Linked DNA regions of Daphnia pulex. The protein of the gene in region 2 purifies or fractionates together with the protein of the main gene of each other region. This does not show direct contact. Links are inferred from orthologs where the notes say so. Each region holds a gene or a part of one and is shown on either strand. Other genes may lie near its edges.

Evidence for each region. Proteins that work in one complex are often made in the same cells at the same time.
Region 1: the proteins of protein lin-54 homolog (region 2) and protein lin-37 homolog purify together in Homo sapiens (affinity purification with mass spectrometry; 4 studies listed by BioGRID and IntAct, counting the BioPlex papers as one, with this or other methods). This does not show direct contact. The link is inferred for Daphnia pulex from reciprocal best matches to the Homo sapiens genes LIN54 and LIN37.

The regions. Positions count from the first base shown.
Region 1 is NC_060021.1:10,751,371-10,754,490, reverse strand, and holds protein lin-37 homolog, read right to left. Parts: upstream 1,932-3,120; 5' UTR 1,823-1,931; coding exon 1,798-1,822; intron 1,727-1,797; coding exon 1,594-1,726; intron 1,520-1,593; coding exon 1,295-1,519; intron 1,238-1,294; coding exon 1,027-1,237; intron 956-1,026; coding exon 914-955; intron 849-913; coding exon 735-848; 3' UTR 626-734; downstream 1-625. Other genes in the region: sphingosine-1-phosphate lyase-like, read left to right, coding at 2,545-2,553, 2,647-2,794, 2,869-3,084.
Region 2 is NC_060026.1:5,748,757-5,752,514, reverse strand, and holds the start of protein lin-54 homolog, read right to left. Parts: upstream 2,580-3,758; 5' UTR 2,498-2,579; coding exon 2,473-2,497; intron 2,145-2,472; coding exon 2,002-2,144; intron 1,906-2,001; coding exon 1,684-1,905; intron 1,622-1,683; coding exon 1,397-1,621; intron 1,332-1,396; coding exon 1,059-1,331; intron 1,002-1,058; coding exon 626-1,001; intron 513-625; coding exon 370-512; intron 312-369; coding exon 195-311; intron 113-194; coding exon 1-112. UniProt on the Homo sapiens protein: Component of the DREAM complex, a multiprotein complex that can both act as a transcription activator or repressor depending on the context. In G0 phase, the complex binds to more than 800 promoters and is required for repression of E2F target genes.

The DNA of each region.
Region 1 (3,120 bases), on a different chromosome or scaffold from region 2:
CTAAGGGTATAGAGCAATATCATCATGCTCCTCTTCACATTATCTCTGATCCCTCATTAATTTTCTCGTGTTACGCAACAAATCCTCCCAGTTCTTGTTTAATCTTTTTTCATTGTTGAAATAAACATGTGACCTGGATCTCCCTTTATATAAGAGACACCATGCAAAAATTGGCGTCCGAAGTTCGACATTTTCCCCACACTTCGTTATTGATTAGTTCCATTGGTACTCTGTCGTCACTGCATTTTCTTGTTAGATTCGCACCCTTTTCCATTCAATTACAGTTTCTTATACATGAAATCTCTTTGAACTCCAATCTTTAAACTTACCTACCTTTTTTTATTTTTTGGCCAAGAAATGAAAGATCAATTGAGCACTTATTTATCTTACAGGGGAATCGACCTATTTGTGACCTGGCGTGTGACAAACTGTTAAGAGATTTCTCTTGATTACATTTAACTGACGAGAACCATGTGCGTGTTTGTCTCAAATATCTCATTTGTTTCTTTTTTGTTTGTTCGATTGTTAGGTTGTTTGATTGTTTCTTTTTTTTTTTGTTTTGTATCGGATTGGAAACGGTATGACTGGACAATAATATACTATAACTGAATAGTTAAAAAGCAAGTTAATGTTTTTGTTTTAAGATAATATTGAAGCACACGTCCCACAAAACAAACGCTGATGGTTGTTGAATTTTTGTCAAGTAGTACAAAAATATGATGATCACATCAAATTTAAGGGCGAACTAAAATATTCTTAAGAATCTTGGTACTTTCAACATAACGGACTTCATTGACATTAGCCGCCCGTCTCCATTGCTCTCGTACTCGACCCCAATGAGAACAATGCTGTTAAATGAAAAAGAGAAAAAATTAGTTAAACTGCATTCATTTGACCAAATGTTTCTACCCACCTCCTGCAATAGCGATGATACTGATGGAGCCGCCTCATCTTCCTGTTTTACATGAGTTTTTCCGAAGTCAACAGTTAGTAAAAATTCTACACTGAAGTTCCAAATTCACTTACACACACATTTAGCAGCAAATCTAGTGATTTAGATTTTCCACTGGGCTTCAGATCAAAGGGAATCCTAGTATCTACAATGTTTCCTTCTTCATCCAGAGGCATCGCTTCAGGTAATGGCAAGCTATTTACAAAAGCTTCACCATTTTCTTCAAGTTTTAAATCCTCTTTAACCTCAGCTCCTTTATCCTCCAGTTTCTTAGGGGAATTTGCACTGAAATCAAACACTATATAATATTTCTTTAAGGCTGGAAATTAAATGTCAAATTACTTTGCAGCTCCAAATTGTTGGTTGTTTGGTTGATTTTTTATCCAAGCACGGCAAACAGGATATAGGGGAGTTTGAGGAGAAAATTTTGCAAGATCAACACTACGATCATAAAGCTTAAGCACATAGGAATTTTGGTCATTTTTGTAATGTTTATCCACATTTAAGCGTCTTCTCTTTCTCAATGGAGTTTTAATTGTTCCTGATTTCCTAGGAGATGCTGATTGACTATACAATCATAGCCAAATTGATAAATAAAAACATAATTTTTTAAATTCTTAATGTAACTATTCAGTAAATACCTTCTGCCTTCATGGATTAAATCAGTTACATCTACGTCAGATTCATCGCTATCTTCAGATTCAGTTTTTTCGATCAAAATTTGCAGAGCTCCTTCCAATCGTCCACGGGCAGTGCTAACTTCATGCCCATGATCTATAAAATAAACAATTCGTGTGATGTACAAATGCCATTCAGCAAAACATGTAAACATTAAAGTTGCATACCATATTTCTCTTTATCCTTTCTCATTTCTAGATTTGAAAATAAAGAATTTCACAAAAGAAATTAAAAATTCGACCGAGTTCCAAACAAACACAGCATTGCCACTTTCTCTTCTTTAATGGTTGTCAGATTTTACAAAATAAAACAAGGATATCGGAAGAAGCAGACGAATTGCGGACTTCATAAAGCGGATTTCGATCGGCCGTGAGGAACTGTAAATTTGAGCTGATCCGCTATTCAAATATGAAATATGCCCGAGTGATGATGACTCAAACCGCAAAATAAAATGATTATGCAGAAAACCAAATTTGAGACGTATCTTTCTGAATTTACGAAGTATAAACAAATTATCTAAGTTAATTAGTTAAATGTCACATTTGTATTTGTAAACACCTAAAATTCAATTTTATTTATTTAGTTATATACAGTGTACATTTCTAAACATTCATTAATCTTAATATTTTATTATTAATTTTTACTTTCTTATGCAACAATCCTATGTGTCTGCTGTCTGGATGTTTGTTTGCAGTCCAAGGGTGTAGAAGAGGTATCAATCTTGACATGTTGTGATATTGCTGGTGTTTTTTTGTTTTTTTATCTTGTTTACTTTATCTAAACTCTACCTGACTGATAGGGTAAATGTGGTATATGCACTGAGCTGCTGATCCAAGGTTGAAATATTCCTCATTTGGAAATCAGTCAGCTCCTCATTTGAAGCCACAAAGGAAACTTGGTTATTTTTCATAACCATGTCTATGGTAAGATACATACATTGTGTCAATTTATTGAAACTAAATTTACCCATGAAGAAATTCAAGATAAAGTATTCTAATTATTTTTCTTAATTACAGCCGAGCATATTAGAAGTTGCTAGATTTATAAAAATATATATAGACTACCGTTTAAATGAGAAGTTTTCTTTTAAAATAATTTTGATATCGGCTGGAGCAGCATATTCCATTGCTCGACTACAGAACTTTCTGACAGATCCAGAATTGTGTAAATATTTCACAAGTCTATGTAAGAATTAAGAGCCTCATGCAATAATAATTTATTTTTTTCTTTTATTGAAGCTGTGGCTGAAAGAACAAAGAGATATATTTTCTCATGGATTCGTATGATTCCTTTTGTGAAAAAAAAGGTAGCAGAGGAAAGACTTAAGGCTAAACATATGATGGAAGAAGACATGAATAAATGCACAAAATCCCTTAGTGTCTATTATCAATTGCCTAGTAATGGAAAATCAGTTGAAGAGATTACTAAAGAAGCTAGTGAATATCTAGACCTAGGTAAATAATTTTATCTTAATGCATGAAAATAGATTG
Region 2 (3,758 bases):
CTGGAGGAACATTAACAGTGGAAATCGCACCCTTTACTTGCCCTACCGCCTTTGTTAAAGTAGTTGTTCCCTTAACTGTTTGTTGTGCCAGCGAACTGTTTGCTGAATGAATCTGTTAAAATTTTTTTAAAAACAATAAAAACAAAAAATTGTAATTCTGTATAATTTCAGGATTATCAGGTTGAATATTTTACCTTAATAGAATTTGCAGTAGGTGCCCCGATTATAACTTTTGAAGTTCCTGATGCAGTAACCAAATTTCCCGACCCGTTGTTTCCAGCAGATGGGTTAACAACGCGAACTAATTGTATCTAAAACCAATACATTTCATATTAATTTACACATTCCAATTTTGATGATCGAAACAACCTTGTTCCCGGCAAGTTGAAAATGCTGCTGTTGACCACTCTGTTCTCCGTGGGTTCCGATTGCGGGGAGTATTCCGGCAGCTAAAGCTTGAGCTGTTGTTAATCTTATGTACTGAGCCGGTTGTGTTCCACTTCCTTGACGAACTAAAAATATGTTTGAAAAATGGATTATTAAATAATTAATTACAAAAACCACAGTTTTAAAATTCGCAACATAAAAGATAAATTCGCATTTTAACACAAATCTGCGATTTTACCTTGGGCTGCAGTGATCGGGCCTGGTGCAGAAGGTCTCAGTACGAACTTCTGAGGACTAAGGGGGTTCATGTTGGTGACATTACCACCGTTGGGTCTAGTTTGGACCAGTGCTGCCATTGTTACTTGTCCAGCAGCGTTCTTTATCAGTAAGCTGGTTGGTTGGCTTTGTATTGAAGAACTGGATGAAATATTCGATGCAACTGTCTGCGGGGGAGCTGGGGCAATTTTCGTTGGTGTTTTGGTGGGGGCGCTTCTTACCAACGTCACGTTTCCTCCTGCAAATTTAGCTCCTTGTTTTCCTGCCAAGATATTGGTAGTAGGGGTTCCTTGACTTGCCGTGGCAACGGCGACTTTATTTACAATTAAAGGTTGCCCCTGATTTTAAAATATATATTAGTTCCCATTTCATACGTTTTTTAGGCGTTTGTCTACCTTTTTAGGCGATATAAGTCCAAGCTGTTGGGCTTGCTGAAGTGTGATGGTTTTGGTCGGGCTCATAAGGCGAACAGATTGTGAATGAATGTTTGAAGAGGGTGTACCGATGGTCGACATTTTACTTCCATCTGTACTAAGGGCATTAACAAACCGCAAATTTGTATTCGGAGTTAGTAGAGATGTTAATCCACTTGTTGATGCTGGAACTGTAAGAAGTAATGGCTGTCCAGTTTGATTTTGGCTTGTGGGTGCTAGCACGACTTTAGTAACCTATTCATTGAAAAACCAATAATTAATAAAAGAAATAATTAAGAAAAATAAAATATTAATTAAACCTGAGTCGAGGAAGAAACTGGAATTGTTTTCTTGATTTGACCCAGAGGGAAAACAGTTCTAGTCACTGGTTCGACTACCGGTAAGGAAACGGACATTGGCGTTATCGAGGGCGCATTTTTATCATCACACTGGCTTGTCATGATACTGATTCCCATGTCACTTTGATCCATAAAACTTTCTAAGGGTATTGAGTGTACCTCTTGACTTCTGCTCACTTCCATGTTCTAAAATAATGTAAACAACAGATAATTAGGAAAAAAAAAGTTTAATATTTAGAGTATATTACTTGCACATCCACCTCCATAGCTTCAATAGTCATAGTTTCCACTTCTTCAGAATGACCCAGATCATTCATATTCAAGTTGTTGGGGTCATTTCCTAAATGCACTGCTGACTCATTTGTCTGAACATGTTCCTCTACTATGCCAGAAACATTGGACATGTTGGATACTGCATCATTCGATTCCAATGCTCCTTCTAATCCAAGCCATAGACTGGGGTTGTTTGCCTTCAAAAGAATATGGTTGGAAATTTAAAAATATGTCAAAGAATGCTAAATAACAACTGTCTTTAGAAACCAACTTTGATAGCTTTAATAACTTACCAAATCAGCCACATCAGTGTTAACTAAATCAGGAGGTAAATCTGAGACTTCTGTTGTTATCACTTCTGTATGTTCATCATTTTCTTCTCCAACAGAAGTAAGGGAGAGAATGAAGTCATCTGTTTCGACTTGCATAGCGGAAACTGGGAAGGAAAACAAGATTAGTAAGGTAAATATCTATCAAGTAGGTACTTAATCATACTATCAAATAAGCTTCTAAGTGATCTTAGCATTGGGAAGGTTAATATCTGTTTAATGTAATCCAAAATTTATTCCAGTTTAAAAAGATTTTTCAACGAATATCGAAAAACCCGCCTGTAATAGGCGCCATTTTGAAAATAGTTTCCTAAGGGCATCAACCTAGCTTGAATTTTATGCAATCAGATCTATTTTTGTGTGAAATTAGTATTCTTAACTTGACGGAAATAACACAGTCATGATCTAAACAACGGTAAGATAAAATATAAATACCTTCATCTCGAGAACTCGACATCATTTAAGAGGAAATGTACGATCAGCCCGCCATGAACTTATTCAAAGCGACGCCTGCGATTGCTCTTTACACTTAGTTCGTTATGTCGCGGCTAGGTGTCGTGAAAATTTCTGATCTTACTCCACACGCCCCACACGATGATATTTCTAATATGGCATGATGCTTGGCATCATAATATCATATATTTTTAAAGTGTTGCAACTTAAAATGATTTTAAAATGTTGTTACGAAAATGCTTTTAATAACAAGCAAAAAACAAGTATGAACTGCAGGGATAATATTTCAGAAAAACATCGAGCGATTAGCGAACGATAGCGCTTACATTTTGGGTAACCGTGTTGTCTGTCCCGGTCCGTCCGTGTAATCCTTTGGTTTATTTCTTTACAATCATCGCATTTTCAATCTTCTAATAAAACAACGAAATTTTTTTTCTACAGTAATGTGTATCTGATTCCCATATTACGTCAGCATGAACTGCAATTCTGTGGACAATTATCAAACAATCGAAAGTTATTTTACATAAATAAACTTAGCCCTTTTTCGAATAATGCCTCAGTGGCAGTTTGAGGATTAGCTTAGTCCGTGTTCGAAGAAGCCCATAAAATCTTGTTTGGATTAAGTGAGAAAAGCGTTGATGACTGATGAGTGCCCCATTTCCTGTACAATAAGGAATGTCAGAATAAAGAAACAGAGTATTATTCAGTTTACATACTATGCGAATTCGAAAAAATGAAATAATAAATCTTTAGATTTTATGGCATTGCAATGCGTGTGTAATTGACTTGTATATAGTATATGATACTATGAGATTTCTAAGGGGGAAACATTTTTTTTTGTTTCTTCTCTCGCGCGTGCATTTGTTTGTTGCCCCTTTTTTGTTTTTCTTTTCACCCATCCGTCTTCCGAACTTATTTTTTTGCCTTGAGCCCCGGCCACGGCCAATCAAGTAAGACAAAAGAAGTACGAATACGAGTATTTTTTTAAAGCAAAACAATACCAGAAGGCATGTTGGCGAAAACAGACAGAAAATAGAAGAAAATGTTCTTGGATTTTCAAGGATTATTATTATTGTCAACTAAAAAAAAAACTGTATTAATTAGAACATTTACAGAGTGCCCGATTTGATTTTTCACTAAATTCTACATAAAGTGGGAAGTATGCATTGCGACATTTGCGAGTTGCGACTGGCTGCGAATCCTGCGATGCCGCTATAGTCGCGATTCATAGCTAATGCAAATCTGGCGTTCTGGCCCTGTTGAGTTGT